Linked DNA regions of Daphnia pulex. The protein of the gene in region 1 purifies or fractionates together with the protein of each later gene. This does not show direct contact. Links are inferred from orthologs where the notes say so. Each region holds a gene or a part of one and is shown in the gene's direction. Other genes may lie near its edges.

Region 1 (11,123 bases):
TTTATTAGAGATTTTTTATTACAGACGTGGGTGATCTTCAGGCCCGGGTTGTATTTTTTTCGACCCTGTGCGTTGTAACACCAAGTTACGCTCTGCACCGCGACGATGGTGCAGAAATAAATTACCAAGTGTTTCAGTGGAAAAATGTTAAAAATTGTAAGTAAACTATACACGTTTGGGTCCTGCATATGTAAACAATGCCCATATGCCCTGTACAAAACATTTAATTAATATAACTTCCACTACTTCAATAGTGGAAAACTTACATGCTACGTATTACCTGAATAATGTGGTATTTTTCAATATTTTTCTTTGGTCGAAGTTGTTATCCAGTTAAGAGAAAAAACACTTTGAAAAAATACTTCCATAAGAGACAGTGTTAAAAAAGGGTGGGGTTTTCTCAATATGGCGGATTGCAGCGTTGTCGGAATACAAGAATCCTGCTATCCGCACGGTGCAAGAGGTCTATTGGCTGCCCTCGATTTAAGGAGAGAACTCATTTACAAATTGAGAAACTTTTCCGCGCAGCGAAGGATATGGTATGGGGTGCGAAATGAACACTTTTTCCCAAAAAAATGTTCAAAAATCGATTACCATATTTGATTTTTGGTACCCCATAGAAGGATTCAGTTTATTTTTAATTACTAAATGATTATTTTTTAATACTAATATTGAAATCGATAAACTATTTTGAAAAAAAAATAACTAGTTGCATAAAATGACAACTATAAAAATCTTTACTTGTCTGCAACCACTGTAGAGGCGCTCACTTTCGTCGCATTCCTATTCCTAAAAGTAAGGAATCTCGTTTATCTATGAGCAGCATAGCTATGGCGGTATTGCTTACGAGTGGAGGTAAAGCAGACTAAATATTTGTAGGATAGTCCACAGGCTACAGCACAGCAGTTCCACTTTTTTTCATGGTTATGTTGCATGAAATTATGAGGGCCATGTTTTGCCACTAGAAGGGCCTAGAAGTTGGGTCTCGCGACTACTGAGTACTGTATCGTTTTGCTGTCATCGCGTGGGTTAAGAGATTCATTCAACAGATTGTACTGAACGTTTGTCGTTTGATTGACATTCGTCAGTTCAGTCAGGCTCAGTGTTCGCTACTTATTCTTCCAATCTCATTGTCGTCCCTATCATTGGTAATATCTAGTAAAAATCTTAATTTACTTAAATTAATAAATTTGTACTAACTCGGTTATGTTTGATGAACACAGGCTGAACACGTGTATATCGACTCGAAATTTCGCATATTAAAATGGTGCCAAATATTAACTTCAAGGAGGGATTATCATTTGCCGGATTTGTTGTGATTGGCGTAAATTTCCTTATTTCCGGATTATTGATTAACTTTGTTCAACTTTTACTGTGGGTTTGTTTAAAACCTCTCAGTCCTTTTTTGTTCCGCAAACTTAATTATTATTTCACTTATGCAGTTTGGGGCCGTAAGTAAATTTATTAATTATATTTATTATTATATTTATCTTTTATCAAACGTTATTGTAATTTAAAACAGAAATGGAGTTTCTTGCAGAGTGGTGGTCGAGTTCTACATGCACAATCTATACTGATGATCAGACATGGGAAAAATTGGGTAGTGAACATGCAGTCCTCCTACTCAACCATTCATATGAAGTAGATTGGCTATTTAGCTGGTTTTTCTGTGAGCATGTTAGGATGTTAGGGGTAAGCATTCTTACCTTTGGTTATTCTTAAATTATCTAAATAATTCATTTATATTTATTCCTTGCATACTTTACTGTAATAATTCAGGGTGCCAAAGCATTGGTTAAAAAATCCTTCAAGAAAGTACCTATTATTGGATGGACAGCCTTTTTTTCAGAAAATGCATTTCTGGAGAGGTATTACATTTATTTTTTTATTATTATTATTTTTACCTTTATTTGCCACATTTTAAATTTATAGGAGCTGGGAAAAAGACAAGACAACATTAGAGAACCAATTATCTGAGATGACTAACTGTCCTGATCCTGTCATGGTAAGTTGAATGCCTAATGAAAATAAATTACCAGAGACTACAGTTTTCACATTTTTTAGTTACATTTGTTTGCTGAGGGAACAAGATATACTCCAGCTAAGCATGCAGCATCTGTTGAATTTGCTCAAAAAACGGGCCTTCCACCTTTGAAACATTTGTTGGTTCCTCGTACAAAGGGTTTTGTTTCGTCAATTGAAAAGCTTAGGGGGAAGTTCCCTGCAATCTACTGTGCTACTATGGTGTTTGATATGTAAGGTTAAAAAAAAAACTTTTTGAACATCTTTTTTATGTTGGTATTTTGATTGTCAACAGTAAAGAAGCTGCTGCGCCTGTGTTCAAAAGTTTAGTACTTGGCCGCCCTATCGCAGCCGAAGTATTAATTGAGCGCATACCTCTTGACGACATTCCAGAGGATAGCGATAAAGCAGCTAATTGGCTACATCAGAACTTCCATCATAAAGTATTGGCAAAAAATAAATTACTCTGTTTTATTTTAATGATATTTTTCACGTTTATTTTGTTTGATTGTCCTTAGGATAAAATGATTGACATCTTCAAGACCGAAGGACAATTTCCGTCTTCTCTTCCCGGTCATCACTTCAGTGGTCCCATTCGCAGTCATTATCGTCCAAGACGTCTTTGGACATTGCTAACTATTTTCATTACATCTTGTTTAACCCTTCCTCCTGTGTTAAATGCTTTCTACTCGCTGTTCTGCTCTGGATTCGTTAACATCGTGATAGGAGTTGTTTTATTAGGACTAGGTAATATTGAAAACCTAGTGGCCACACATTCTTCTTAAAATTGATGATTCATTTTTGTTCTATTTTTCAGTGATCGTCGCGTTGCTCAAGTTGATGGATCTTAGCAGTGCTAGCAAGGGATCAGAATATGGACACAGTCCTCGTACCAAGACAAACTGAACTATATTTCAAGAAAACATCACACAAATTTTGTTACATTACGAAAAGTTGTTTGATGACTAGAAGTTGCACATGCTGCTAATTTTGCTACTGATTAATTCTGGAAGTTAGACTTCTTGGATCATTTGGATGCCTTTAACCTTCTATTTCGAACGCTAATCTGTGGTGTTCAATGTTATTTTTTTTTCTTGCTTTGTTTAAAGAATTCAAAAATGTTTTGAGACATTTATTGTTATTGATTGATTTCCTTACGCGTCTTACAAAGAAAGCGTTCGAAATTATACTCTAGTTTGTCATAAAATGAATCTATTTGATTTAGAACGGGAGCTATAACATGTTATACTTGGAAGAATAAAGTTGAAAAAAAATTGATAATTACATTTTATCACTCTTCGGTGGAAGTAGTCTACTCATTAATAATTGATCAACAAATAATGTAATTTTTCGTTCTTCATCAATTCTTTAATCAATAGGTTATTAATTTTGTTTTTAAATAAATGCTAGTCACCGAACTAAGTCAATTCTTGTCTAGAAAAATTAAAACGTGCAGTCTTTAAGCATTGTATTTGTTCTTATTCATGACTAGTTAATTACAACAGATTCCTGAGAAGGTGAATCCATAGGAGCGATTATATTAGCGGTTTCAGATGAAGGCGAGTGTACTAGAGCGGAACTTTTCACATCATCGCTCCCAAGAGATAAATCTGTGCAACGTTCAGCTGAAATTTCCAAAACCTGAACAAACTGTTCGCAATTAATATCATGAGGAATTGAAAGCAGAATATTAGCATCTGAATCAATTTCTTTTAAGTTTACTGAAACTTTATTGGCGTCAATGTGACATACATCAGCGCCAGAGTTGCTGCATGGTTGTTCAACATTAGGCAACGTTAAAATTTGTTGGGTTACAGTAGCGACGCTTTCTGAATGAAAACCTTCGTTGGTCGTAGATTCTGATAATTCGCCAAAAGGAGCCATTTTAATAGACTTTATTTCTGTGATTAATGAAGCTCTTTCTGTCTGCATTGCTCTACAGAGCTTTTCAAGTTGGGCCAGTTGCTTTGTGGTAGTAAGGAGTTCAGAATCCCTTTGTTTCTTTTCACTGGCCATTTCGGTTAGCAAAGAGTTACTTTTCTCCCAACGCTGTTTCCAAAGCGCCGTTTCCTTTTCCAAGCTCTTAAGCTTTTTAGTCATTTCATCCATTTGAGTTTTAAAGCAACTGAACTGTTGATTGCTGGCTTTTAATGCCTGTTCAATTAAACAAGAAATTGAAATAATTTAAAATCAACTTATTGGACTAATTGGATGCCAATTTTACCTTTTGAAAGTCATCATATTTGTCTGTATACATAGACAACTGGTGGCGCAGTCCTACTTCCTCCTCCTGCATGACTTGACATTTCTTTTGATATTCAGTTAGATCCTGTTTTAACCAAACATTTTCAATGTATAGAAAAATTTGTATCATATTAGTAAGATAGGCAAAATGTAACAAACCAGCAGAAGTATCTGCTTTTCTTTCAGCAGTTTTTCCTTAGCTTCCGCGGAATCCATTCGTATTTTTGCAAGTTTAGCTTCATTTAGTTGACGTTCAATGTCATACTGCTTCCCTAATTTCTCCAAATGTTGTTCCCTTAAGCTGTACTGGTCACACAGCATCTGTAATTTTGTAGCCATTTCACTGTTTTCATCACGTAATTTTTGATTCTTATCATTGTTCTGCTGAAGTAATGCTGAAACTTCAGAAAGTGTTGTCTGAAATTTAGTAGATACTTCTTTTCTACGTTCTTCTTCTTCACGTACACGTAGCATGCTCTCCTCTACCAAAGAACATTTGTATTTAGTTGATGAACAGGTATCTTGAATGTGTGGGATGGAATGTAGAACAATATGGGAAAACTACCTTTTACAACCTTATTCTGTCTCTGGAGCTCACGGCAGAGTTCTTCTAATCTTGACCGAGCTAAAAGAGACTTCCCATTTTCCATTTGCAGTTGTTCTTTTTCCTTTTGTAAAACTGTCATATGCTTTTCATTATTTTTTAAACTAGCAGCAGTTGATCTGTTTTCTTCCAGCAATTCGGCATATTTTTGTGTTAAAACCTACCAGATTTGTATGAGATTTTCATTATACTGATGTATATAAGTTAACCATCATAAAAATTGCTTACCTTCAGTTTCTCTTCAGTTGTTAAATTGTTCATTGATTTCAGCAGTACTTCAACACCGCGCATTTCTTTTTTACGAGACTTGCTCTTTTCATTTTTCTCTCCACCAGCTTTCAAAATATCTGCAATAGCTTGAGATAATTCTTCAGATTTTGAACTACTCATTGTTTAAAATTTCAACCCTCCACTATGGTCCTATTGAATGACTACGAGGCTTGGCAAATTCAACTTCACCGGAATTTCTACTCTCCTACACTGCTTAAAATGGGGATAAAGCTATTTGTTAGTAACTCGGATGAAAAAGGTGTTCCCAGGGAATTCCACGGAGGCACTTTGGTACGTTTCGGAGGTCTCTAGAAATAGAGTAATATGCAACCAATAACAGTAGGTCCGTCTCTGCTATACTACATGGCCGGACATCCTACGTCCTTTTTACCCGCGAACACCAAAAAAGTACCAAAAAAGTTAAAAAAAAGTCTATCTATCTTGGCCCTTCGCCGTTGGCTGTTGGGAGTGGGAGTGTTGGCTGCTCTTGCCTCTTGGCACTCTTCTCTGGGGGCGGAGTCTTGGTCGATAAACACAAGCAGACGGATGATAATTTCTAGTGTCGAACCTCGCCATCTAGGGCATTGTTATTTTAAAATTCCCAACTTCACAATTATATGAAAGCACGAAAATAACATCTTTTAGTATAAATAATTTTAAGCTAAATGACCAACCAACAATTTTATTACTAGATGTAAGAATAAGAAATCGTGTGATCAGAGAAAACAATTACCCTTCACAGATGGAAGATAGGTTTCCATTTTCTAACGCTACGAGCGTTGAAAGCAACCCTATTTAAAAAATAGGCTCCCCAAAAAGTGAGACATCATTGGCCGCGATGTCGAAACTGTATAGCTACTACGGATTTACGGAATATGTTATTGTCTTATTAAAGAGCGAATCCACTTATTACAGTGTTTTCGTTGATCCCTAGAGCCAAAATTGCTGCAATTTCATATCGTTAACATCAGAATCAAATCGTCTATAAAACCATTTACACTTTTGATCTTATTTAGAGTCGTCTTAAAATGGATTAAAATTTCAGTGATTGTGTAGTGGGTTTTCTTTAGAACTTTTTACCCCCACAAATTCTTTGTGAAACGTTTGTTAGACTTTAAGAGACGTGACAAAATTTCTTATTATCGTTATTATCTTCCCGTAAAGTTTACAATGTCCAACAGTTCACCTTATCTTGTCAACTTTTTGTGTAAATTGATCTTTTTGACATCTGTGTGGGTATGGGTAGTAGAAGCAGATGTTTTAGTAATATCTCTTGATACAAATTCCACAGTAAATGCTTTTCCCAGTTTACCTGCTAATTTTGGGAAAGTCTTACCATTTGATGGATTGATTGGCTGTGTTGTTATTGCTAATCCTCAAAATGCATGTAACACAATTGACCCTCCTCCAAAGAATAGCAATTGTTCTGATAAATGGTTTGTTCTGATCAGACGATATGATTGTAATTTTGTTGACAAAGTTCGTGCTGCTCAGAATGCTAACTATGATGCTGCAATCATTTATAATGTTGGATCCAATCTTATTGGTAAATATGCTTACTTACGATGCATTTATCACTTCTTATAATGATTTTTTTGCAGAGCCTATGGCAGGAGAAGATGATGATGATATTATAATTCCTGCTGTATTCATTGGACAAGATGGTAAATTATGAGTTCTCTTGTTACATTTCAATAGTTTGACTTACAAATTTTTCGTTTGTTTTTCAGATGGACTAAAAATTCAGTCTATTTACCAATATTATGATGGGTATTGGTCATAGCTATCAATGGATAAACTCAATTAATTAAGCTATGATTTTCCTTAAAAGGTACATGCTGTTATTGACCAATGAATTGCCATTCAATCTAAACAGCTATCTTCTACCTTTTGCCATTGTTGTTGCAATCTGTTTTGCAATAATGGTAGTTTTTATGGTAAGTGATTTGATTCATCATTTATTTATACTTAACAACGTTCTAAGTCATGATTTCGGGAATAATCATTTAATGCCTGCATAATTTTTTAAGTTGATAAAGTGTGTCAAGGAGCGCAGACGATCTAGACGTATTCGTTTGCCTTCGTCGTCCTTGAAAACCATCCCTACTAACAAATTCAAGAAAGGGGATCCATATGATACATGTGCCATATGCTTAGAAGATTACGTAGATGGCGATAAACTTCGTATTCTACCTTGTTCCCATGGTTGGATTGGATTTCATTATTATTATTTGTTATTGTTAGTCTTAATACGGCCGTGATAAATGAAACCAATTTTTATTCACAGCTTATCACACCAAATGCATCGATCCGTGGCTTACGCGAAATCGCCGAGTGTGTCCAGTTTGTAAAAGGCGGGTAATTGCGCGAGGTGAACATCTTTCTGATTCTGATTCCGAAACGGAGGACGAATCTAGGCCTCTTCTTCGACCAGGAACGTATGGAACATCAGGAGGAACGTTCACTGATCAAACCGTAATTGTTTTTTTATAAAGGTAATTCTTTGTTTTCCCATGTTGAGACATATTTTGTGGTTTTAGAGAAATACTGGAAACAGAACCCATGGTGTATCAAATGCGTTGGTGTTGGATGAAGAAGCTATCGATAGAGGGCATTCCGTTCTTGTATCTGCAGATTCGATTGTTATTGAAAACGAGTAAATCACAAAAATTTGAATTGCTTGTATTATAACGCAGAATAATTGATTTAGTGTCAATTTTAGGGAAGCTACGGTTTCCGGAAACGACCAAGACGTCGGACAGGTTCACGGTAATATTGTTGTTTTGTATTGTTTCATTTTAGTTTTCTTATTTTTCCTTGCCGTAATCATAGAAATTGATATGTCGTCTGACGGTGAAGCAGAACAGCCGCAGGAAAACCTGAATGCCGATAGTTCCGTGTATTTAACTCCTGAAAGTCACCGCTCACGGGATCCTATGAATGTTTAATATCTCTTGTAATTAAATCTTTAAATTGACATGCTGTTATATCCTCCTATTCATTATATGATTTCAACCTAACTTTTTTCTTCATATATCTGGTTGTGAGAAGATGAATAAGACAAATTTACAATTCTTCCGAAACCCGAATTCTACTGTGTCAGCGACAAAAGCGCATGACAACGTTTACCTTTACAACAAGAAATTTGCTAAATTTAATCAATACACTACATTCGTATGCGACAAAGAAAATATTTGACGAAAGTCGCCCCTTGAACGAAAATGAAACAAGATTTATGTCTTTCCTCTTTGATAATTTCAAATAATTCCACATTGAACTACGATCGTCAACGCTGTTGCGTCAGTAGAGGAATAGTCATTGAGCGCGTCTCGTGTTAGTGTAGTATGTTTATTACTAAACCGTTATCCATTTGCATTTTTTTTTATAATAAAAGTATTCCATTAAATTGGTTATTATTTCAAAATAATAAATATTTCCACAAAAAAATATATTTGATTCAGTTCCTCAAGGGTAGGCGGCAAAACTTTGAATGTTCGTCCTTGAACCTTTTTTCTCCGTGTCTCACTTGAGGGATATTCTACTAGGAATGGATTATAGTGATATGACATTTTTGTTGTGGGAAGGTAGTGCTGTATTTTAGAGAGGTAATTAAATTTACTAGCGCTCGCTGAGACGACAATAAAAATTTCCCTGTGGAAAACGCCGCAAGTACAAGGTTGTTTCATGAGCGCTGCGTACATACGAAAGATATATATTTGTTTAGAGTGATAGATAAATATTTCTTCAAAGAATTGAATATGTGTTCATCACGTAATGCGATCAAATTAATTGCTATTATGTAACATGTGTGGGTAAGAACGTACGCGTAGACTACAATTAGAAAGTTCGGATCTCGGGTAATTAATAAGCAATGGACTTTAAATGAATTGAACGTATACAGATCAGCAGCTGTCTTAAGTGTTAAAAAATTGTTCGTTGCACTAGTCAATATCTGTAGTAAGCGCAACGAAATATTTCGTTGAATGGCTAGTTAGTGCATTGGTGCAACGAAATATTTCGTAGCGGTTTACTACAGCAGATATTAGGTGATGTATATATTAGTTGACGCTATCACGTTTCTCCGACATTTCTTTGCTTAATTCCCAATACAAGAATTTGTCTTCGTTGCTTCTTTCAATAACTCGCGTATTCCACATTTTATTTCGTGATGTTTTATCAGTTATTAGACTATGAAACCAAAACCGATTGAAATTCCGTGTGTTAAAATTTTACCAGTATCAATTAATCATCGATTACACAAGATTCAATTTTTGTGGCGATCAACCACTGAAATTTAAAATATTTTTTTTATTTTTACTGTTTGTTACTGTGGAAGAGTTGGTGTGTTGGATAAGGCGTCACTTTTGAACAGGTGTGCCTTTCCTTGGGGATGGGAGTTCAAATCTCCCAGTGAGCATTAGAAGTTTCTCACACACCCGCTCTGGCGCCACTATGGTGTCACAAATCTAGTGAATCCAGGCATTGTGTTCTCGCCTCCCGAGTGATGACCTCTGGTGAGTTCTCATTGAACCTAGATTCCCAATTGGTAATCAGGCGCTTCAGAAATTCAGTACCTGAAGAGATGCTTGATCTAAAGTCAAGCTAGAGTGACATTCATTTTGGCTAAAATTGTTAGCATTTCTTTCTCGAATTCTTTTACGCGAGCTTTTAACTTTGATTGTATTACCTCTTTCTTAAGTCTAACATGAGCCAAGTCCAAATTGTAATTTGAATTTTTAATTGAAAAATAATGTGAAAAAAATGGCCATGATTGCGGAAAATGCCAACCTTTGCGGATATTCCGTAATTTTGTCCTGGACTCCTTCGATTCTTAATTCTTTTTCGTTGCTACAAAAACAAACCCGAAATTTTGATAGCCCTTCGTCTACAGTCTCGTACATCAACAACCATGGTCTCGTAGCTCGATGATAAATGTTTAAGTGTAATCCGGTGGTACTACCTAATAGTCGGGTCTTGCCTAACACCCACTGTAAATTTCTGGAGGCGACAGTGACACGAAGCTCTCTGGGCGACAGATTTCACGACATAATTTTTTATCTCACGGATTTACTTTGTAGGGTAACAATCGAGTTTGTAAACAATCACGGTTGATGAAGGACAAGTTTGGCTCTGATTAGTCTGAAAAGTGAAAACTAAAGAGTAGCAAAAAGTTACCAACAACACGCTGGCTCCGCGCATGGATTCGTACGCTTTCATACAGTATTTTAGATTAAACGTGGTTGAGAATTAACCCTTTTAAATAATGCGCAACATAGAACTAATACATTTTTGGTTCGATTTACGTACGTCTGAAAGTTTAATCCACTAGTAGGAGTGCACGATTGCGATCTGTGCGCCGATAGATGTTTGGGAATTATTAATTAAAGGAAACACACTCGGAAACACATCGGATGCGATTAAGTAAAAAGGGATTAGATAACAGCAGATAGGGTGGTAAGAGGGGTCAATAAAAAAAATCAAAATTAAGAAAAAGGACGACAAGGATTGAAAGAAGAACAAACTGGTAAAGGCGCCACCTGGGTGGAGTGTGTCGACCAGGTGTCGACTGTTCTCGATCCTTCTTTGCGGAAGCCTGATACCTCAAAACATCGATGCAGAATGTCGAATCGAAAAAGAAAGAAGAAGGGACGCCAATTGATAGTTAAGTTTTTTGCCCAATAGGCATTTGATATAAATTGTGGCCGAAAAAACTAAGTCGTACGAAGATAGTGTCGTACGTAATAGTAATAAATAAAGAAAAAAGTAGTGATTTTGCTAACGGTATTAGGTCATTTCGCCATAACGATGTTTCGAATGTTCGTTAGTGACCCGCAATCTAATCACGTCACTGTTCACCGGGCACACCCTTGACACATGGTCAATTAATCCCGCACAACTGAGCCCACTCGTCGGCAAGCGCATACAACTTATAACCCTCTAGTGTGACTTTAGATCAAGCATCTCGTCCGGCATTACACCTTCA
Region 2 (10,687 bases), on another chromosome or scaffold:
CATGTCCGCTAGGTGGTTGCCAAACCAGATTTACGTGGTGTGTGTTTCTTCTGTCATTTTTCCCTTCAGAAGGAACTTTTGGGGCTTTTCCGCCGCCTCCGCTCATAGCACATAATATCTTTATTCCTAATTTGCGATATTAGTTGGAATCTTTAAGTGTTTTGGTGACTATATCCTAAGTTGTGAGACACCTGTCCGACATTTGAAGGGTGTTTATTCCAGGAAGATTGCGCCTCTTCAGTGAAACCATCATCTTATAATCATGGCTCTTACTAAATTAAAGGGAAACCTTGAAAGGATATTGGACAAAAATCTGGCTGATTTAGTAAGAGGCATCAGAAACAACAAGGAAAATGAAGTATGCAAAAATTTTCTTCAGTCTTGTTCCCAAAAGTTGGATGTATACATTCTGTCTGTGCTATTTTTCAGGTCAAGTATATCGCTCAATGTATTGAAGAAATCAAGGCAGAGCTCAAGCAAGAAAACATTGCAGTAAAAGCTAACGCTGTGGCAAAGCTGTCATATGTACGGTTATTTGATTTATTACATTGATAATTGTGTCATTTTTAACGTAATCAATATGTTTACTTCCTTGTTAGCTTCAAATGATTGGCTATGACATCAGCTGGGCTGGCTTCAATGTAATTGAGGTTATGAGCTCTAATAAATTCACTTTCAAAAGAATAGGATATTTAGCTGCATCCCAAAGCTTCCATCAAGACACTGAGGTACTGGATTATATTTAATTGATTTTCTCTGTTTGTTTTTATAGCTAATTTTTTGTTATTACACTTTCTTAATAGGTACTCATGTTAACCACAAATATGATCAGGAAAGATTTGAGTAGTCAAAATCAGTACGACGCTGGTGTGACATTATCAGGATTGGCATGTTTCATCAATCAAGATTTAGCCAGAGACCTAGCAAATGATCTGATGACATTGGTATGTTCCTTTTTGTTCTCTTCTCATTCATTGGATTTTTTATTGATTTTCCCTTGAATGTTTTTCTCCAGTTGTCTTCAACTAAGCCTTACATAAGGAAAAAAGCCGTGTTGCTTATGTATAAAGTTTTCCTTTCGTTTCCCGATGCCTTGCGGCCTGCATTCCCCCGTCTAAAAGAAAAGCTGGAAGATCCGGATCCCGGTATCGTATCTAGAGATACGTGACTGAACGCAGCCCATTATCGATTGCTTTTGCGTAGGTGTACAATCGGCCGCTGTTAACGTCATTTGTGAGCTGGCCAGAAAGAACCCCAAAAATTATCTCAGCCTGGCCCCAATTTTCTTCAAATTGATGACATCATCTACCAATAATTGGATGCTCATCAAGATCATTAAATTGGTAAGCCTCCGTAATGATGGGGTACAGTATACTGGGTATTCTAGACTAACAAAGTTTAATGGTCGAAAAAGAATCGATGTTTTCGTCAAAATTGTTCCATAATCCGATACGTTCTTATTAGTTGAATGCAATGACACAGTGCGATTCTCGCCTAAGCAAGTGCATAAGCCAACCACTTATAGCCATAATAAAAAGGTATCAGTCGTGAAAAGAGCGATAAAATTGTAAGGCTTGACTAGGATTTCATTTCCTCCCTTAGTAGATCAATATTGACCGCATTCCCTTGAAATTTTTTTTGTTTTCACTTGCTTATTATTTTGTGTATTTACAGTTTGGAGCTTTAACACCCTTAGAGCCTCGCCTTGGCAAAAAGCTGATTGAACCTTTAACTAATTTGATTCACAGGTAACAACAAAAAATGTCAACACCTTCCTATTTGATTTGTGCAACACTAGCTTTGCGCTAGACTATCAATTTTGATCTGTCGCCATATTTGATTATTTGCTGCTTTCATTCATTTTTGCCAACATTATTTTTAATCGATATCGCATAATTTTTTCCAGCACTTCAGCGATGTCGCTGCTCTATGAATGTATCAACACTGTCATTGCGGTTCTAATTTCCATATCGACCGGCATGCCTAGTCACAGTGCATCTATTCAGGTACCACCAACCGATCCCTTATCGTTTCAACATATTCGATATTTTCAAAAGAAATCAACTCATTTTCCATTTTTTTAATTTAGCTGTGTGTTCAGAAGTTGCGTATTTTGATCGAAGACTCTGATCAGAATTTGAAATACCTTGGTCTACTAGCCATGTCCAAGATCTTGAAAACGCACCCGAAATCCGTTCAAGCGCACAAGGATTTGATCCTGCTTTGCCTTGATGATAAAGACGAATCGATACGGTTACGCGCTCTAGACCTTCTCTACGGAATGGTTCGCTTCACATTTTCTTTAAAAATAAACCAATTTTTAAATTGTTTCTTTTGGTTTTGTAAAGGTGTCAAAGAAGAACCTCATGGAAATTGTCAAGAAACTGATGGTGCACATGGATCGAGCAGAAGGAACGCAGTACCGTGACGAGCTTCTTTCTAAAATCATCGAAATTTGCTCTCAAGATAATTATCATTTCATTACCAATTTTGAATGGTATTCTAGAGTACTCGTAGTGAATGAATTGATTGAAAAACTCAACCGCTCCATCTCTTCCTTTTTTTAGGTACATAAGCGTTTTGGTGGATTTGAGTCGAATGGAAGGCCTCCGCCAGGGTCACGTTGTGGCTTCTCAGCTGATGGATGTAGCGATCCGCGTTCCTGCCATTCGTCCATTTTCTGTTGAACAAATGGCTCTCTTGTTGGAAACATCGAGTGGCTTTGCTATTCGTGGAATCACCGGACAAGTGGCCTTCTCTTCCATGTGCGAAGTGCTTTACGCAGCCGCCTGGATCTGTGGAGAATTCGCATCGTAAGGATTTTTTGTGTAACTCCGTTGGAAACAATTAAATAATATCTTTTATTTTTATAGGCATCTTAAAGAGCCCGAAGCAGTTTTAGAATGTATATTGAAAAGCAAAGTGACTGTACTCCCTGGTCACATTCAAGCTGTTTTCATCCACAATCTGATGAAGCTTTACGCTCACATTCTTCACAAAGCATCCACGGCGGATGAGAAAGAGAAAGCACAATTGGTACTAAATTTTGTTTATGGCTTCATCCAATTCAAATTCTATTTCAACATTTCCCTGTTTTTGTCTTGAAAGATGCTGTGTGTCCTTCAAGAGCGACTGACTCCGTTCATGCAAAGTGCCGATTTGGAGGTTCAGGAGCGCGCCAGCACCGCTGTCCACGTCCTCAAAGTGATTTCCAAATTGCAGGACGCTGGCGAAGGAGACGTTGTCAACGAATTGATGCAGCTCTTCCAAGGCGAGCTGAATCCAGTAGCGCCTAAAGCTCAGCGCAAAGTTCCATTACCTGAAGGGTAAGCCACAAATTTGAAAAAACCGTTTCGTTGAGAAACTTTTGGTTTACAATTTCTGCTCGTTTAGTTTGGATTTGGACGCCTGGATCAACGAACCGGAACCAGAGTCGGACGAAGAACCCAAAGCTGACGGAGGAGGGTCCCTTGATATTTTCTACAAGTCGAGCACATCCGCGCCCGACTTCCGCGACGGCTACCAAGGCGAAGGCGTTTACGACGAAGGTGACCAGGCCCAGTCAGACGACGTCCGCCAGCAGACGCTTCGGCAGCAGCAGGTGCGCCGCGAAGCCCTTCGCGTCGAGCAGGCCAGCAACCCGCATTATCTCAAGGGTTCCAGCCAAGCGCGACGGTCACCTTCGTCTTCCTCGCAATTATTATCTCCGACCGAAGAGATCCCCGTCATGTCCATCAACTTGTCCGTTCCACTTCAGGTCTCCACTAGTAGGAAACTCTCCGACAAATACTTGGAGCTCGAACGAAACAAGGAAGCGTCTTCCGATTCCAAGAAACATCGATCCAAGCGGGACAAGAAAAAGAAGAAAAAGAAGGGTAAATACCTGTTCAATTCAACAATATTTTTTATTGCAGTGTAATAACGTTTGATTGTTATCCTCTCTGGTTATAATAGGTTCCAGCGACGAGGAAGAGGCCGCCGCCGAGATTGTTGCTCCACAAGTGATATCTACCATGGAGTTGCCGGAAGGAGCGCGATTGTCGGACTCTGAAGACGATGGGCGACCACAGACGGACCCCCACCGCGCATTGAACATTGATTTAGAAGAGTATGTTTTTTTTATTATGGGCTTGGCTTTCATTTGGTTGTTATGTAATTTCACGCTCTACTTTTTGGGAATTTCTTTGCCATTTGCCATTTTTCCCACAGCCATTCTTATCCGAAAGAAAAACCGGTGGTGCGAGTAACCCTGGAACCGGCAGCTGCGCCACCAATCCCAGCCAAATCCAAGAAACCCAAGTCGAGAAACGGGGTAGAAGGTCTCAAGGAAGAGAAAGCCAAGAGAAAGAAAACGAAACAGGAGAAAGAGGAGAATGCACCGCCGCCGCTGCCACCGACGACTAAGGGCGTTAACCTCAATGACGATCTTGACTTTTGGTTGTCGGCCAGCAACGGCAACGACGCCAAGGAAAAGAAAGTCGTCGCGAAAGGTGAACTGACCATCGATGAAACTGCCACGGCGGCCGACTCCCAGAAGACGGCCAAGAAGACAAAAGACAAGAAGGAAAAGAAAGACAAGAAAGAGAAGAAAGCCAAAAAAGAAAAGAAGAAGAAGGACATCAAAGACTTTGATGACCAAAACAATCATCTGTCGGATAGTGTCATTGCTCCGGTCGCGATTGCGTGGAAATCCTTAGTAGATGACAAACGTCTCGTCATGGTAAAAATTCAACCATAGGTAACCCGAAATCGTTTATAGTTGTTCATTTCACTTTTGTTTGTTGCAGAAATATCGTGTTGTCGCTGTACCTCACGATCAGCACCAAGTATTAGTCCCGGTACAGCTCCACAATCGCAGTGGCAAACTGATTCATTCGATGATCTTTAATGTGGTCGACTCTACCAACGCCCGTCTATGCCGTGGGCAGCACGAGCAAGACGGGGTGGAATTGCCTCACCAGTTAGCCAGCCAAAGCCGAGTCGAAATTCCATTTGCTTTCGCTGTCGCCGACAGCACCATGCTGCACCAGCTCAGAGGTGTTTTGACCTACATGACTCAGGTATCAAGTCTACCAAATACTACTAATTTTCCCCCTCGGGTGATATTAATTGAATTCTTTTGCTATAAATGTGAAGGGAGAAAACGGATCTGTCTCGGAAAAGTTGGATTTCAAACTGCAAATTCCATGTAGCGTCTTCCTCTCTTCTGACCCCATCAGTGGCGATCAATTTGCCGAATTATTGGCTTCCCAGGAACTGATCGGCAAAGACAAGGCAGTGTGCGAAGGAATTGCTTTATCTCAGGTACAGCCATTTTTTAAAGATTGGTCTTTTAATCTATTATTAATTTTTAATACGTGAATTCTAAATGTCTATAGGCGATTGATCGTGTCAGTAGAGAGCTTAATATGCGTTTAGTCGAAATGGATAGTTCGGGAACATCCGCCTCGTTATACTGTCGCCACTCCACCGCTCATCATCTCTGCATTCTCATGAAATCACAGGTATTTGCAGCTAGAAAATGATTTAGGTGTGTTGCCAGATTTTTATTTAATAATCTATCAATTGTAATTAGGCGGATGGTCGGCTGAGCATTTACGGAAAGAGCAGTAACCCGTCGTTGGTATCGTCGGTCATGGAAGAAATGCGGCAAATGTTTGCTTAATACAAAACGTGTCGCTCCTGTCGATCCGGTTTGACGCATTAAACCTAAGATGATGTTTCAATGCAAAACCTGAAGGGAAGTTTATAACCGAAAAGCCGAAAAGAGAGAAAAAAAAAGAGCCTTTTTGAAGTTGTTAACCTATTCCAAGTTGAATTCTAATGTCAATCCAATCTTAACATGTTACTGTATTTTTCTAAGTGGATAAGGGTTGGGCGAGATGGTGAAGCGCAATTGGATCGGTGGTCATGAATCATCTTGTGCTCAGCTTCCGTAAACTTCAAAACAAACAACAGCGAAAGAGAAATATACAATTTGGTTGATTATCTTAATGTATAATTGGCGTCCTTTTGAGACTGTTTAATCTGAGATACAGAAAGGAAAGAAAGAAAAAAAACAAACAGTACAAAAGCGTATATAAATCCGATTACAAGCATGCATAGTAAAATCCAGTTTTACTACAATGGGTATACCTGCTAGAGAAAAACTAAATACCTGGGCGTAACAAACTTTTAGTAGCATAAGAAAATGAGAAATTCAGTATTAGATATGACTGTCGCATTGTGGACATCCACCGCCTCACAGATGTAAGACCCACAATCTTGGGGTTTCAATTGGCGGATGGTCAGGTAAGCCGAGTCGGAAACGACGGACACTCCATAACGGGGATCCTATCAAATGAAATTAATTAAAGTATAGAACAAATTAAATATTTCTAGATAATAATTTACCTTGTGGATCATTTGAGTTCCAAAAGCGATCGGTGTTTTAATTGTAGATTCCAGCAAATTGTTTTGCGTTTCGGCCACACTTCTGTGTTGCGTTTTGTACCATTGAAACTCCTGCATTGTAATAAAACAAATAATTATGACTAGACATTTTACGAAGAGGTAACTTTTTTAAAAGTTGACAATGTCTTTATAATAATCTAGGTTTAGTATTTCACGCTTTCTGATGCGGAAGGTCCTTTAGCTACCAACCATTAGAAAAACGAAATCGCCAAAAAGGTTTTTTCCATCTTTGAGACTGACATCACAAAAAATGTTAACTTTCTTGCACGTCGTCTAGACGAGCTTTCTTATTATGCAAGTAAGAAACTTCTAATTTGCAAGTTGTGAAAATACTAGCAGGTTTCAAGAATTAGGAGTCAAGATGTAGTAACAGCTAAGGAAATGCTTCGTCAATCTAAAAGAATAAGATGAACAGAAGTGCAATATAAAAAGATATTGTGTTGTTGCGTTCAACCATCCAGCACACGTTCTCCCTGGACATTTCTCTTTCGTTTTTAAAAAACAGAAGGAAAAAGTCGAACGAAACCATTGCCACTTATTATTTCGCCTCCGGTTTAAGGATAAACTAATGGCGTGTGTTTCACTAATTAAAATCTAAGAATGAAATCGTTTAAAGTTCCATTTGGGCCCCCATTTTTCACTCTTCCAAACTATCCAACAATTTATTATTTAAATGGAGTTTTTTCGTGGCGTTATTATATAACTTGAAGCACAGCATATACAGACGTGGGTAATGCAGCACCCCATTACATGCATCGCACGTTCTCCGCCTACAGCGCCAGCGCTGGAGAAAGTGTTGGAGAAAGTAAAAATCCCCCGGCTGTGTCTATCGCTGCCGCTTTTGGAGTTGCTGGCCGCTCTTCAAATACTATTCTTCAATTTAGGTGATGGCTTTTGGCTATATGCAGTCCATAGATAACCACATGTTTTTTTTTTCGCATTGCCAGCAATGTAAATATCCCTTTTCACGCATAAGCAAACAGCAATATCCATTTCCGTGCTGGGACATGCGTAGAAAGCCGCAGCACACTATCTACACAGCTGGTTCACTATATATTTCTCCTGACCAACACAACTTATTGCCACCCATAAAATGTTTCTTTTTGGACATGACGGAACTTTCCTCGAACAAGAAAATGTAGGCTAAAAATTAAGTTACGCTCTAACATATCCGCTCTTAAAGTAATTTAAGTAATAGCCAAATAATTCAATGCAATAATTGGAAAATTCAAATTTACCACTGGTTGCTGAAGTTGCTGCTGCTTTGGCCAAGAGCAGGTAATGGTCAAGTCGTGCAGCAGTTTAGGGCAAGATGAAGTTCTGGTTAGCAGCCGATAAGGTTTGGCCACCGATTTTTTGACAATTAAAGATGGAGACTGTTGCTGGCGACTCTGAATATTCACCGCCTGTTTGATGGGCTTCGAGTAAGGCCATGGCCAGCGATCCTGAGCAGGACTACCAGTGACCGAAGTACCGATGGGAGATTGATTAATCTCTGGGCTTTTGGCCTGTCTGACGATAGTGGTGTGATCGGGATTCAAATTAGGTGAATTGGCCCTTCTCCCTTCAGTTTGAGCCGCCGGTGGAATGAATTCGGAATGCGGAACCGGCGAAAAATTAGGGACGAAAAACTCATCCGCATCCAGGAAGCGAATTTTAGAGACGCCAACTGCTCCACTGTGAGGCGAAGAAGCCAAAGTCGGACTGGGATTGGCTGGCCGGAAACTGGCCACGACCGGCGATTGGATGGAATGCTGCTGGTCGTTGTCTTCCGATTGCGATCGGAAGAGAATATCTTTCAACGATCGGTACTGAACTAAATCCCTGCTCGTTTCCACCGGGAAAAAGACATTGGGCGCCACTGATTGGATCAACACTGATGCGATAAGAACAAACAGCAGCAGCAGCAGCTTAGAAAATACGGCGACGTAACACACGGAAGAGGACATGCTATTGACTTGCGCTGCACAACTCTTCTCAAGACGTTCTGACGAGAAAGCTGTTGCTTTACAAGTCCAGCAAAGCCTGCAGGATGACGGCGACAGCACACACACTCACAAACATTCAGCCCGGAGATGAAAGTCGCCTCTTAGCTCTTGTTGTTGTTGTACACCCTGTTGTCCGATGGAATCGAGTTGAAATGCTTACAAAAGGGAGGGGGCAGTGCTGCGGAGAAAGTTGACTTGGATGATATTGTATGTATTTTCACTTGTGTATTTCTTTATACAAGCCAAGGTACCTCCTTTTTCACAAGACAAAATAATCTGAAAAAAAAATTCCCGGAAAAAATTCGCGGTGAACGCAACAGTAAATCAAAGTCTGAAATCGAAAAGAAATTGGTTTCACGTTACCTTTTTTTTTTCGTTCGACCATTTAGGAGCTATAAAAGCAAACAATCGGGCTGTTATCAAAAGAAAATTCTTTAAACTCAAAAGAGAAAACTTTAATTCCATACAGCTAGTTTTTAGTGAGATTATTTACTTAATTGAATTAAAATAGAAATAACTAGCCAATTTTATTTTATGGGTGTTTAGAGAAACGTCATATCCACTAAGGATTAATTTTCCGGGAGCGGGAGTTTCAATTCTTGTCAATTTAGTTTGATACCACTTGGGCCACTGTGCACACAGAAAAGCTATATGGAGAATAAACTTACATACATGTTGTTTTGTCACTACAATATGTGAAACCAAATGAGCTTTGAGAAGAGAAACTTGTCGGTTGCGCTCGGCACATGACCAAGCAATCGACCGCATACTTTTTGTTAAAAAATACAACCCATATATTGATTGATGATATGATTGGATTTATATAGTACAGATATTATACGTTGGGTGAATTTGTCTATCGTTTCCCATAGAGAAAAGCTAATCTAGAAAATAACCAATAATACAGGTTGCTAGTAATGCCGAGTGATTTGAGTCCAAAGAGAAAGTAACTATATGGTAGTCATCATGTGGTAGTCACCATAGCAGTCGTCAACTACATATTGTTTACCAGTTTATTGATTATAAGAAATGCAAAAATGAATAATAGAAAATTTTTTAATGTCGAAATAATAAGAAAGATTTTCTGACATTAGCAAATAAAAATCTAAATTGCTACCTTTAGAAGATTAGAAGTAATGAAATCCGCAACGCTGAAGGAATAAATGAACGCGAAAACGGAAACCCTTTAGTGTTTTGCGTGAGTTTTGACTAGATTATACGTAAATTGATAACTTATTATAAATTACTATTTTTTCTAAACCTTTGGAACGGAGCAATCATCTATGTTAGTCCATAGCAGCATGATAGCAGGTCCTTAGTCGTTCAAGTCCCTGCTCCCTGGGCGGGCATCCCAGACGTTTTCCAATCCAGATTTAATTCTTATCCATTTATTTATATTTTCGTGATATGTGCTATTTACAAAATATGATACTGTTACAGGTTTATTAAATTTTTAATTGGTTAGAGTTTAGGTGCGCAACGAGAAGATTGCCCTAATGCCCTACTCCAGCAATGTCTTTGATATGAGGCTCAGAGGTGGCAGCACTTGCACGAGCAGACTGATGTTTACAAAATAAGTCACACCGACTCGGCATCGTCTGCAGCAAAAAAAAAAAAAAAAAAAAACTACTAAACTCTTTTGGCCAATTGTCATCCACTAAAGGTTTGTTAAATTAAAAACTAAGCTTATAGTCTTTGTTTGGCATTTGTCATCTCTTAACCAGCATTTAGCCATGTAACGGTTATTTCTTATAAAAAGGTTTTCACTAGGTTTTTATTCCTTTGCTGTTCTGCCTTATGGATCCTAATCAGCTTCAATCTTTTTGGCTTCCAATAATATTTGAAGCTGGAGCACAAATGGAAGAAATTGACAAACAACAGCAATGGCAGGTAAATTTGTGCAAACCATAATTATATTCTCATTCAAATGATTAATCATGCTGAAATTACAAAGATTGTAGCTGCCATGTTAGGATGCAGTTCTCATCTTGAATGGAACCTAAAATGATTGCATCACCTCCCTGGTCCAATCCATCTCTGCTCCCGCTGCATTGACCGATGTCTAAAACCGAATATGTGGAGCGCTGCATGAAGCAAACTTAATTTATTCACAACACTATAATGATGCTTTTTTTGCTGCTGAATGATGATTTTTTAATTATTAAAATTTCTTTAACATGACTACAGACTGCACAAAAACTGAGTGATCATCACTTATTCTTTTATTCCCTTATTCATTTACATTG

What was found.
Region 2: the proteins of E3 ubiquitin-protein ligase RNF13-like (region 1) and AP-3 complex subunit delta-1-like purify together in Homo sapiens (affinity purification with mass spectrometry; 3 studies listed by BioGRID and IntAct, counting the BioPlex papers as one, with this or other methods). This does not show direct contact. The link is inferred for Daphnia pulex from reciprocal best matches to the Homo sapiens genes RNF13 and AP3D1.

Annotation. Positions count from the first base shown.
Region 1 is NC_060019.1:4,265,078-4,276,200, reverse strand, and holds E3 ubiquitin-protein ligase RNF13-like, read left to right. Parts: upstream 1-5,949; 5' UTR 5,950-6,310; coding exon 6,311-6,686; intron 6,687-6,741; coding exon 6,742-6,804; intron 6,805-6,870; coding exon 6,871-6,910; intron 6,911-6,971; coding exon 6,972-7,077; intron 7,078-7,170; coding exon 7,171-7,345; intron 7,346-7,427; coding exon 7,428-7,615; intron 7,616-7,680; coding exon 7,681-7,796; intron 7,797-7,862; coding exon 7,863-7,909; intron 7,910-7,972; coding exon 7,973-8,088; 3' UTR 8,089-8,372; downstream 8,373-11,123. Other genes in the region: 1-acyl-sn-glycerol-3-phosphate acyltransferase gamma-like, read left to right, coding at 1,265-1,451, 1,523-1,692, 1,780-1,868, 1,933-2,005, 2,065-2,255, 2,318-2,465, 2,541-2,769, 2,840-2,928; alpha-taxilin-like, read right to left, coding at 3,511-4,176, 4,247-4,351, 4,426-4,748, 4,832-5,030, 5,099-5,260. UniProt on the Homo sapiens protein: E3 ubiquitin-protein ligase that regulates cell proliferation. Involved in apoptosis regulation. Mediates ER stress-induced activation of JNK signaling pathway and apoptosis by promoting ERN1 activation and splicing of XBP1 mRNA.
Region 2 is NC_060021.1:779,951-790,637, forward strand, and holds AP-3 complex subunit delta-1-like, read left to right. Parts: upstream 1-15; 5' UTR 16-262; coding exon 263-358; intron 359-429; coding exon 430-525; intron 526-599; coding exon 600-728; intron 729-803; coding exon 804-944; intron 945-1,015; coding exon 1,016-1,145; intron 1,146-1,203; coding exon 1,204-1,343; intron 1,344-1,674; coding exon 1,675-1,748; intron 1,749-1,906; coding exon 1,907-2,006; intron 2,007-2,089; coding exon 2,090-2,284; intron 2,285-2,348; coding exon 2,349-2,497; intron 2,498-2,567; coding exon 2,568-2,813; intron 2,814-2,873; coding exon 2,874-3,036; intron 3,037-3,108; coding exon 3,109-3,326; intron 3,327-3,393; coding exon 3,394-3,875; intron 3,876-3,954; coding exon 3,955-4,108; intron 4,109-4,209; coding exon 4,210-4,720; intron 4,721-4,787; coding exon 4,788-5,060; intron 5,061-5,136; coding exon 5,137-5,304; intron 5,305-5,378; coding exon 5,379-5,504; intron 5,505-5,575; and 3 more. Other genes in the region: uncharacterized protein LOC124194089, read right to left, coding at 6,175-6,333, 6,394-6,504, 7,692-8,402. UniProt on the Homo sapiens protein: Part of the AP-3 complex, an adaptor-related complex which is not clathrin-associated. The complex is associated with the Golgi region as well as more peripheral structures.